Linked DNA regions of Rattus norvegicus. The protein of the gene in region 1 interacts with the protein of each later gene in a biochemical or structural test. Links are inferred from orthologs where the notes say so. Each region holds a gene or a part of one and is shown on either strand. Other genes may lie near its edges.

What was found.
Region 2: the proteins of Hus1 (region 1) and Rhno1 form a complex in vitro, tested with the Homo sapiens proteins (2 studies listed by BioGRID). The link is inferred for Rattus norvegicus from reciprocal best matches to the Homo sapiens genes HUS1 and RHNO1.

Annotation. Positions count from the first base shown.
Region 1 is NC_086032.1:87,905,831-87,911,332, forward strand, and holds part of Hus1 (checkpoint protein HUS1), read right to left. Parts: intron 4,675-5,502; coding exon of another isoform or gene 4,633-4,674; exon of another isoform or gene 2,871-4,632; coding exon 2,771-2,870; intron 2,086-2,770; coding exon 1,966-2,085; intron 430-1,965; coding exon 347-429; 3' UTR 1-346. UniProt on the Homo sapiens protein: Component of the 9-1-1 cell-cycle checkpoint response complex that plays a major role in DNA repair. The 9-1-1 complex is recruited to DNA lesion upon damage by the RAD17-replication factor C (RFC) clamp loader complex.
Region 2 is NC_086022.1:163,321,680-163,327,831, reverse strand, and holds the start of Rhno1 (RAD9, HUS1, RAD1-interacting nuclear orphan protein 1), read left to right. Parts: upstream 1-2,445; 5' UTR 2,446-2,774; intron 2,775-4,156; exon of another isoform or gene 4,157-5,189; intron 5,190-5,620; 5' UTR 5,621-5,704; coding exon 5,705-5,869; intron 5,870-6,152. UniProt on the Homo sapiens protein: Involved in microhomology-mediated end-joining (MMEJ) DNA repair by promoting recruitment of polymerase theta (POLQ) to DNA damage sites during mitosis.

The sequences.
Region 1 (5,502 bases):
ATAGGAATGGGGGCAGCTCAGTGGTAGAGCATGCGCTCAGCACACGAGGCCCTGGTCTCATCGCCCACACCAAAAGAAAACAAAACAACAAAAACCCTACAAAAAATAAATTCTCTTTTCTTCTTAATGGCTTAAAGGGCGAAGGGGTTGGTACTGAGTCATATGAAGGAATGACTATCCGACTGTGCTTCACGACTTCCATTTGTGTTTAAAGCAGCATAGGGAGAGAAATAAGCCCAGTTCAAATGTGTGGTACTGTGAGGACAGGCAGCTGACTGACCATATCGTCCAGTGCTTCTCTCATCACGACAAAGTCCTCTGTCCTCCTGGGTCAGCTGAGATGGTGCTAGGACAAGGCTGGGATGAAATACTGAAGGGAGACGTCTTCCAGGAGCAGATCAAAGTGAATAGTTCTGTTATTGACGATATCTAGGAGGAAAAGACCCAGATGTCAAAGAGAGTTTCATCCCCACCTATCACAAGGCTTATCTGCCACGGCCACCTCTTATGTTTGGTGTCTCTTCCCTCTGAGGGCTCCAAAGGGTCACAGCATAGGTCACGGCCACCCACCAGGGACAGAGTGGGAGGTGAAGAATGAAGTTGCCCAGACTTTAGGGGGAGAAAAATCAGGCGGATTTAACCAAATTAACCTTCCTGGTAAAAGCATGTACTCGCCGTGAGGTGACCAAGTTATATGGGCAAGGTCTGAGTGTTTGTGCCCCTGTGCACACTGGGATAGGCTCTACCGCAAACCATCAAACTCTTCCATGGGTTCTGATCCCATAGGCTCTCGGAGGCTCTTCTGTGGTTTCTCACTCTGTGCTGGCTAGCTTCATGTGAATTTGATACAAGGTAATCATCAGAGAGAGGAGAGCCTCAGTTGAGAAAATGCTCAAGACCGGGCTCTAGGCTATTAAGTAGTAATCATGGGCGAGGGCCCAGACCACGGTGGGTGGTGCCACCACTGGGCTCACGGTCCTGGGATCTATAAGCAAGCTATGAGGAGCAAGCCACTCCTCTGCAGCCTCCGCATTAGCTCCTGCTTCCGGGTTCCTGTCCTGGCTGCTGTGGCAGTGAATCGTGAAACCCTTTCCTCTCTAAGCTGCTTTTGGTCAAGGTGCTTCATGACAGCAATGGTGACCCTAACTAGAACACACCTTCTTCTGCGTGTGTGTTTGTGTGTGTGTGTGTGTGTGTGTGTGTGTGTGTGTGTGTGTGTGTGTGTGTGTGTCATTTAGAAAGGCTGGTCCTTGGCAGAGCTACCCAGAGCTTTGTTTTATTATTTTACGGTCTAGTCCCAGATCATCTTCCTCAGCCTTGCTGACGAATGGATGAGAGGTCAGCCTGGCAGCTTTCCATAGAGGGAAGGATGTCACATTCAGGCCATTTCCTATGCCTTTCCTTAAAACAAAAACAAAAACAAAAACAAACACAAAGCCAAGGACACACAGAGCCTTGGGAAGCTCTTGGTGAACGGCCTAGCTCAGTGGGGCCAGCAGGTGAAGAGAAGCAGAGCAGGGTGTAACCTCCGAGTCAGGGCCAGGCCCAAATCATGAAGAACCAACAACTGAGGAGACTGTGGTGAGTGAGGGCAGGCGGGCACTGAAAGGAACGAGCTTGAGCTGAGGCTCAGATCTAAGCAAAAGCGTATACAGGACTGGTTATGTAAAAGTTGACAGACTCGGCTGTTGTGAGTCAGCCCTGTCCTGACGACTGCAGACACAGAGCCCACTGCTGACATCAGCAGCTGCAGCTGCAGCCACAGCCAGTCTAGCATGGCTACCAGCTTTCTGGCTCTACACCGCTCGGCATCAGTCTTCTTCAGCATCTCCAGACACCTCCGGCTGGAGGAAACTTTCAAGCCTGACTGTCCCAGGGAGCTCGAGTGCCCAGAACTAGGCATGCTTGCCCATGTAGGACTGTGTGCATATCACACAGGAGCTGAGTAGTGGCGAACAAACTCACTGCACACCGCCTTGGTGGGAGCCACTTGCTGTCCAGCAAGCAACTGGAGGAGTTTCCTTATGTCGATGTGCACCTTGGCCATGTCTTCTGGGTGTCTGTTTTGAGAGACACTGTCAGAAGCTGCAATGACATGAATGGTTTTTTTTTAAGTCCAACATCCCCCTAACAAGGAACTCAGAAATGTGCAAGGTGCTTACTTACTAACTGATAGACTCTACAGCTCTTTTGAGCAGCCTCGTAGACTGCAACTTGTGAATGTTACTCACTCAGCAGACATCTGAACTAGTTAAAATACTGTAATTTGACACCAAAATAACTCATGTCAGGGCTGGGGAGGTAGCTCGGCGGTGGATCGCTTCTCTAGCATGCAGAGGCCATAGACTCAGTAAGTATTCTGAACACACACACACACACCACCAAGAAAACCGAGGTCATCCACACGTTTGTCAGAAGCTTCATGCTATGGGGCTTCGCTTTCCTGGAGCTATGTGTCCCTCACTACAAAATAAATGTTTCTTGCGGGGCTAACAGTAATATTTGTGCCTATGAAGAAGCAAATCTGGAATAACCAATCATACCTGTCACAGTGACAAAGGAAGAGCTTGGAAGTCAGTGTTTTTGACCTGAATCCCGGAGGAGGGAGCAGCCTTCTGCCTGGTAACCTTGCCTAGCTAACTGCACTACTGCGTCACAGGGAGGGAGCATAACCTTAGCCCCTTCCCAGAGTGCAGCATGTTCATGGAGGACTCAACGGACAACGAAACAATGCTATTAGAAGCAAAATATAGCCCATAAGAAAACTCACGTAGTAGAGGGTTTTCAAGATCCTTAAAGTGTGTTGTCACACATACTGACTCAGTTTCTATCTTTAGGTTTAGTTCTCCTTTTAGGTTTGCTTCAATAACCTGCAAATTGAATAAAATTCAATATTAAAAGGGGGAAAAACAACAATGTGGTACCAGCTTCCGCAAAAGCCAGGTAACAAGGAAAGGGCACAAACCTCGGAACGCCTCACAGGGCACTGAAGCCTCTAAGGCGTCAACCACTGAGAGACATTCTGAGAGCCCAGATCACAGAAATCCCCTAAAACAACAATACCTCCCTAGTGGAAAACTCAGCCTGGCAAAATGGTTCAGACACTGCTGAGGCGCTCTGCCAAGGATCAGGGCTCTGGAGGCCCAGCAAAGTGAGGAGGGCCGAGTGGGGGCAAGGGCTGCTCCCTTACAGCAAGCACAGAAGGAAGAAGGACCCAGCAAAGTGAGGAGGGCCGAGTGGGGGCAAGGGCTGCTCCCTTTCAGCAAGCACGGAAGGACCCTAACCGAATAGGATGAATGCTTCGGCAGAGGAGAGGAAGGAAGTTACATGGGGAGAGGTAGAGCAAGCATGGATCAGAGTCTGGAGAGTGAAACCATCAAAACATGCATCCCTTCAGAGATGCCTGTCTCTGCCTTTCTCATTGAAGCAAGAAGCAACTGACATGGTAGGCTGTGTCTACGGCTCTTGCAAGGAGAGCCCCCGTCCTCACATTCTATGCATGAGAATCCCCGAGGTTGGTTAAGATGGAGAGCTGGATTCAGGCATGTACCCAGGCTCCATACTTCTGACCAGTGTCCAGGGCATGCTAACAATGCTGCCTGTCTTCTTACCACACCCACTAACGACGCTTGACGATGTGTGCCCCACTGGAGGTGATTTCAGATGCGATCCTGGAAACAGCTTTCCTGGAACAGCGTAGGGAAGAGCAAAGAAAGACTTTGGAGGAGAAACACTGCGAGGAGGTGGGAAGCCTTTGGAGTGAGTTCCTTAGGGTAAGTGAAACCTGGTGCTGGAGACATTATCTCTAAAGGGGCAGCAGTCCAGTTGTCACAAGCATTTTCTTGCTCTGATGAATTTAGAGGTAGTTTATAGCAGGCACCAGTACAAATTAGTCAGTAGACAACTAGTGGCACTTGGTGGTGACTAAGCCAGTCACTGAGAAACGTAAGCTCTTATCTTGGTGCTTAGGAAACTGGGTATGTGGATTCGCATGATAGTCCAAGAAACTGCGACTTAAATCACCTCACTTACTGAAAGAAGTGTTAACATGGAAACTTCTTATTCCAAGGAAATTACCTGAGTAGAAGGCTATGAGCTTGGGGAACTCTGTATATGTCAAAACCTCAAAAAGAAGAACTTAATCTGACTTCAAAGAACCTAACTTGTTTTGTCTCTAGAATGAGGAAGATTTGGAGTTCAGAAATTTTAAGGAACAAGCTTGGAAGACTGTGGGGCCAGGAAACCATGGGACAGGGAGGAGACAGTTAGGAGCAGAGGTGGGGTCAAGCGGGGTCCAACCCTGGAAATCTCATCTTGAGAGTGGTAGGAAGTTAAGACCACTCCCTCCCCAGCTTCGGACGTGGTCCTGCACCCCCAACCTTTGCCCACACCAGAGGACGACACCAGGTTAAACTCCCCCTCTCTTATAAGGTCTTGTTCATCAAGCTCCTGGAACTCCTGCCTATCCAAATGACCACCTGGCCCCAACCAATGCTGTACACCCACCTCATAGCCTCTACTCAGGGTCAAAGGTTCAAAACGCCTTTGCTCCTCACATTAAATGAGCTGCTCTCTGAAGCCTGTTTCTCATGCTCACCGGCCTCCCAAGGTCTCCATCACTCCTGGTTATTCTCACCTCCCTTCTCTGGATCCCTGGTTGTGGTTATGCAGCCACTGTGGGACAGGAAGTGGAGTGAGAAGGACAGGGGACACCACACTGACCAGTTCCCAGGTGTGCTAGTGCTGTGTCCTGATGATCTGGGCCAGCAGGGTGCCTTCCTGTCCTCTCACTTACGCAGGACCCTCTGCCAGCAACGCACACAGGATGGCCCTGCTGACATAGGTGTTCCTGGTTGGCAGAACACGGACAGCAGACTGTATGTACCCTACAGACCAGGTAGGCAGCTACTAACAACCAAACCAGAAACGAAGTGTGCCTTGAACAGGTTGGCAAACCTCCTTTCAGATAAAAGAACCAGGACGGGCATGGTTGGAACTTAAGGAGAAAGGAGATTGCTGTGAGCTGTGCCAACAGTACCAGGGCAGGGAGAACAGGAATTGAAGAGTGGGCCCCGTGGGGAATGAGTGAGTGTCAGAGCTGAGTCCTCTCTCCCGGTTGTTCTGTCAGGACTGCTGCTCTGGCCTGGTAGGCAGCAGCCTCGCTGGCCCCCCTAAGTCTGGCTTCGGCTATCACACATGCAGTATCCTTCGTACAGGACTCAGTCATGATCCCCTACTGAAGGCTGTCTGTGCACGTGTGGGCTTCACTATAAAGGTGGAGATGGACCAAGATGATTCCCTAACTTTGCAAGTTCTTTATTCCATAAACTATTAAGACTCTCCCAGAGACATCTACTTAGTTCTTCAGATTCTGGCTCTCCAGGTACACAGACCTCATTAAGCAGTTGGCCACTCTAGCTCAGCAACTTCCTGTTAGCATTTTCCCAGCACAGAACAAAAACTACCACCACCACTCTCACCGAATCCCCCTCTCATTCTCCA
Region 2 (6,152 bases), on another chromosome or scaffold:
CCTGCAGAGGGCAAGGAGAAGCTTGCTATCAGATCTGCTGGGCTGAGACAAACTGGAAGTGTTCCTCTGCATGAACAGACAGAAGCAGAAGCTCAAAGGCCCAGGGGAATCCTGCCTGGACCTTTGTCCAACCCTCAGACAATAAGGACAGAAGCTAGGTTTGATGCACACTTGTGATCCCAGCACCTAGAAGGTTTAAGGTCACCCTTAGCCAGAGAGTGAATTCAAGGTCAGCATGGGCCACATGAGACCCTGTCTCAAAAACAAACGAGCAAACAAGAACAAACAAATAAAGCCCTATCACTGACCAAGGAAAGCTGAAAACTGCAGCAAACACTTCAAGATGGGAACATGGGACTGCACTGAAGTGCATGGTCCCCTGTAAGCTTAAGAATGTTTGGCCAGGCTGAGAATGTAGCTTAGTAATAGAGTGCTTGCTTAGCAAGGCCCTAAGTTCAGTTCCCAGTACTACAAAAAGGCAAACAAACTAGAAAGATTTGGGAGGGAGGGGAGGCTGGCAAGATGGCTCAATGACCGAAACCATCAGCTGCTAAGCCTGGCCACCTGCATTCAGTCCCCAGGACCACGATGGTGGGAAGAGAGAATCAGCTCCTGACTGTTACCCTCCAACCTCCATACATGTGCTGTGGCATGTGGGCAACCCTCCTCCCCAACCCCCGCCCCAGTAAAAATGCAAAAACCTCTTTTTGAATGTTTGGCCAGAGGAATACACATCTACAAGAATGTGGAAATACCAGCCACTGTCCACTAGAATGCAGGTCACTCTCGATGACTGTAGGGACGAATGAAAGACTCTACCCAAGCCATAGTCCTAGTGCCCTTTTCTTTCCGTCTCAAATAATGCAGCTGACCTACACGTCTGATTCTCCTGCCTCCACCTGCCAGAATCACAGGTGTGGCTACAATGCCAGGTTTAGGTAGTGGTAGGAATTGAACCTGGAGCTTTGTGAATGCTTGGTAAGCACACTACAATTAAAAACTCCAATCCTCTTGAATTAAAAATAATTTTTTTCAATAGTTGTCAATAACCACTGAGCCATCTCTCCAGTCCCATTCTTTCTTTCAAAATCTGCAAAGCATTTGCACAGTGACATTTTGGTACTTGAGAGTAACTATATTTTAGTTTTATAAGTATAATACTTGATTTTTCTGCTTCTAAAGACTGTAATACAGATCTTCTCCATACCAAAATGTGCTATCATTAATATGCTTAAGGTGGCTTTAATTTTTGAGATAGCGTCTCATGTAGCCCAGGCTGGTTTTGAACCACTGAGCCTTTGGCCCCCAATTTTCTAGGTGCTGAGATTACAGGCATTCACCACTATGCCTGGCTATGCTAAAGTCACTTTGAAATGCTAAGGAAGGAAGTCTTTAGAAAAAGCATTTCATAGGTTTTTATAGATAGATAGAATAATTTATCATTAAATTAAATCCTGCCACTCCATTTTGCAATCCTGCGAGAAAGGGAGAAACAGCCGGCACTTTAGGAAACCTTCCAAAAAGTAATTACACTTTTTTGACATTTGCCAGCTGCTTAGCCTTCTTAGGTCCCTTCCTCCCTGTAGCTTTCTCTCCTTTATACTTCGTTCTCTCGACCTTCAAATCTCAGTTCTCGTTTTGCTTCACACTGCACCCACCCCAATCAAATGGTAGACACCCCCCACCATAGGGTACCTCTCTCTTTGACCAGCCTTTTCCTAACACTCCCAAAATCTTCTAGCGCAAGGCGACTTGCAGAGCCATCCCCAAAGACCCCATTCTCCACACAGAACCGGGAACCTTGCAACGCTCAGCTAGGATCCCACCCTGCAGCTGTGGAGGCGGAGGCAGGGTTGACTGCAAGTGCAGACTCAGAGGGCAGGCCTGTTCCCAGGGTCCCGGGGTGCTCGGAGAACGCGGCGGGAAAGCCGAGGCCGGCGGCTCAGACTTTCTTCCTGGCGGTCCTCAACACCCCCTCGCGCCCCACAGCCCCGGCAGTCCCGACTCCAAGCCCTCCCCGGACCGGGTCGCACCCCACTCACCTCACAGGCCACCGCTGCTCCACGCGGGGCCGAGCCAGGCCAGGGCGGGCGGGTCCCGGCGGGACGGCCGGGGTGGGAACCCGGGGCGGGGTGGGGGGTGAGCCCGGGCCGGGGGTGGGTCCCGCAGCGCCGCTTTCAGTTGTTCCGCTGTTTGAAATTGGCGCCGGCGGAGCGTTGCGGTCACGTGACGGAGCGTCGCCAATCGGCACCGGCTTGTCTCCGGGTTCCGGCCCCGAACGCTCGGCGTCCTGAGGAGCGGCGGCCGCGGCCGGGAGGGCGGGTAAGGGGGCCCCGGAGCTCGAGGGACGGCGGGAGGGACGCGGGGACGCGCGGACCGCGGCCAGCAGCCTGCTCCGCCCCGCCCCGGACCGCCCTGCCTCCGTGGTCGACTTCCTTCCGGGGCAGCGTACGCCACTCCCCCGGTTAGCTACCCACTGGGCTACCTCTGGATCCACCGCGCGGCTCAGCCCTCGTTGCTGCGTGGGGTCCAGCTTGGGTTTCTGTCCCCAGACTTGCGGTTAAGTGCCCTACGCCCCGCCCCTGTCTGTGGCCGCCTCCACCTCGGGCCCAGCCCCGAGGTGTCCGGACGATCTTTTTTCCATACTTTACGAAAGAGTGGAAGGTACAGTGGCAGACCGGGCCGTCCTTCCCCTGGGCTCACCGGTGGTCTGATGGAGAGGGAGCCCAGAATGAGATGAACAGATCGGTAGAATTCTAGCTACAGAGGAACAGGTTAGAGGCCGGTGGGTTTTGTCTGACCCCGGGTATCCCCATGTGTAGAATTCTCGATTCTCGTGTTTCCGCCTTCGGAGTAGCCCGGGTCACTGGCTCGCCCTCCCGCAGCCGCCAGTGATAAATTTGAGTATTTATTTTAACGAGAAAATCTTGACTTAGGGCAGGAAAGCCTTTCTTTTTCCTTTCTTTCTTCCTCTCTTTTTCCTTCCTTCCTTCCTTCCTTCCTTCCTTCCTTCCTTCCTTCCTTCCTTCCTTCCTTCCTTCCTTATGAGCTGAGAACAAGGTGTAAGATCTGTCACCCATTACACAGAAGGGAAGGAAACATTGAAGCAGCTAGATTAAGAAGGGAGATGTTTGGGGCTGGGGATTTAGCTCAGTGGTAGAGCGCTTGCCTAGGAAGCACAAGGCCCTGGGTTCGGTCCCCAGCTCCGAAAAAAAGACCAAAAAAAAAAAAAAAAAGAAGGGAGATGTTTTGACTGGAGGAGGCTAGGCTGGTGAACACAAAGGCTGAAGGTCACAGGGATTTGAACTAAGACTTAGGGGGCGTGGTATGCTATGAGATGGGGAGCAGATAAAGACTGTGTTTGAGAGGTGAACAGGTTAGAGGCTGGTGGGTTTTCACTGACACCAGAATGTGGTGGCTCACGCCTTTAATCCCAGCACCCAGGAGGCAGAAGCAGGCGGATCTCTGTGAATTCCAGGCCAGCCAGGTATTCATAGCCAGCCCCAGGCTAGCCAAGGCTACATAGTAAGACTCTATCTCAAAATTAAAAAAAAAAAAAAAAGGCCAAGATTGTGCAAAACCTGACTTAGATTTTGTTTGGGTAAGTATATAAGAGCTTATCTAGATTAGACAGAGATGGGTGGGATATGGCCCAATTTCATGGGCTGTGGGCCTGGACTGACTAAAGAGAGAAAGCTAGCCGAGCAGGAGAGTTCATCTTCTTCCTGCCTGTTAAAGGGATGTGCCCAGCTGCTATGATTCCAGCAACAAAGGACTACCCTGGAACTGTGAACCAAAATAAGCCCCTCTTTCCTTCACTTGCCTTCCAGGGAATTTTATGATGGCAACAGAAAAAGCACCTAAAACAGTGGGGCATGCCTTGGGAACCAGCACTTGGGAGGTGGAGACTACACAGTGTATTTGAAGCCAGGCGAGGCTATGCAAGACCATGTCTCACAATAAGACGACTGGTATACAGCCGAGTGGTACCGTTATCGCCTAACACGCTGAGGCCTGAGGTTCAATCTGAAAACTGAAAGGAATGCATTTTTTTCAAAATCATGCAAGGGGAAAGATAGGGGAAACTAATAGATCATATATGGTCAGGATTGAACCAGCTGGGTACTAAGTACATGGGGCTCATCCCGTAACTCAGTTGACCCCTCTTTATGTTCTAGAGAATCTGTGGGCTGTTTTTTTTGTTGTTTGGTTGTTTGTTTGTCTTTTAACAAAACCTAGATGTGAGCCTAAGCTTCTATCTGAAATTCTGTAATGATTGATTACTCAACCCCCACCCCACTCTCATGTGGCCTCACTTGGTTTTCAGACTCAATGTTGACACCATGTTTAATATTATTTTTTTTGTCATTTATCCTTTAAAACTTTTATTAAAAACAGGGTCTCACTTTGTATCCCCCACTAGCAAGGAGCTCACTAAATAGATCAGGTTGACCTCCAGCTCAGAGAAATCTGCTCCTGAATGCTGGGATTTGAGATGGATGTTACCACCTCACCTACACCTAGCCTCTTTTCCTTTTTTATTTTGTTAGCTAGATAGTCACATCCTCATAGATAGTGACATTGTGTGTGAGGACACATGCCTGTGAGGACACACATGCCACACATGTGGATGTCAAAGGACATCTTTTGGGAATTAGTTTCGGCCTTCCGAGTTCTTGTGAGTTCTGGAGAACACACTCAAGCCCTTGGTTTTTGAGGCAAGTTCTTTTACTGCTGAGCTATCTTTCACTCAGTCTGCAATGACCTTGTGATTCTCTGAATTCACAAAACAGCGTTTTGGCTGTTTAAGGTTTCACGTGACTCAGGGTGGTCTCTCACTAGCCAAAGGCAACCTTGAGCCTCCTGATCCTCCTGTCTCCCTTCCCTAGGGCTGGGATCCTAGGCACGCCCCACCGCATCTGGTTTGGTTTGGCTTTTGAGAGCTTTTTGTGTGCAGCCCAAGCTTGACTTGAACTCCAGATCTCTTGCCTCAGGTGTGCTAATTAGCATGTGCCCCCAAGCCCTCTGTAACGGTCTTTGCATGTGGTGCACCTCAGCCTCCAGTGACCTTCCTGGCTTTTGCTTCTCCTGGTTCCTTCCACAGGTTAAGTGTCTTCCTACCCAGAAAGCCTTCTCTGACGAGAACTGAAGCGGACTGTGCTATACTGAGATGTGATTGTTTCCTTCTGGTTAGCTCTCTTCCTCTTCCTTTCCTTCTTCCTTTCCACGGTTCCCTCATTTGCAGTTCTGGGGACTGAAACCTGCAGCTTTGTGCACATTAGGCAAGTGCTGTACCACAGTGCCTCAAAAGCAGGGACCTCTGTGTCACTACAGGTACTTAGTACTCAGTACTGTGAATAAGTACTTGCCCATCTTTAAAGTCTTTAAATCGTAGCACTCAGTGTGTCAGAATACCATGAGTTCAGCGGGTGCTCACTGAGTGAGTTTTGTTGAGTATGGATAAGATCGTATGTTTCTCGTGGTTTGGTATAGGAAGCTGGTTTACCTACAACCTGAGGTCTGATTGGTGGTTTCTGATAGATTGGTTACCCTGACGTCATGAAGAATTGGGGGAGGGGTGCCACCCACATGATCCCCCCCCTTTGTTTCCTCTCTCCAGGCATGGTTTGCAACTGGACTCTGACCCAGACCAGGAAGGCAGCCTGCATCATGTTGTTACTAACTGTTCTTCATTTACCCATTGATGCCTCCCCGAAAGAGACGCAGACAGTGCCAGAAAGCCCAGCTGCTATTCCACCAACAGCCACTGGAGGGCCCCAAACCCCATTATGAATCTCACCAGCAGCCCATTACCCACACTGTACAGGTGCCCAGCAAACCCATTGATCAGAGCACCATCACTTCCTGGGTGAGTCCTCGCAATTCTTTGACCTTTGCTGTGTTACGTTTTTCAGAATCCTGACTCTTAATCCTTTTGGAGCAGGGACAGGGAAGCAGTTGCTCTTTCTGGCTGCAGTTACCTGATTTGTCTGGTATATCCTCTTTTCATTCACACTAAAATATGTTTTATATGGAATTGGAGTCTTCCTGCCAGGTTCCTCTGAAAAGTTCTGATTGAACACTTCACTCCCCAGTCACTGGGTGAAGAAGCTAAAAAAAAAATGACCAACTTATAAAAGATTACTTCCTGT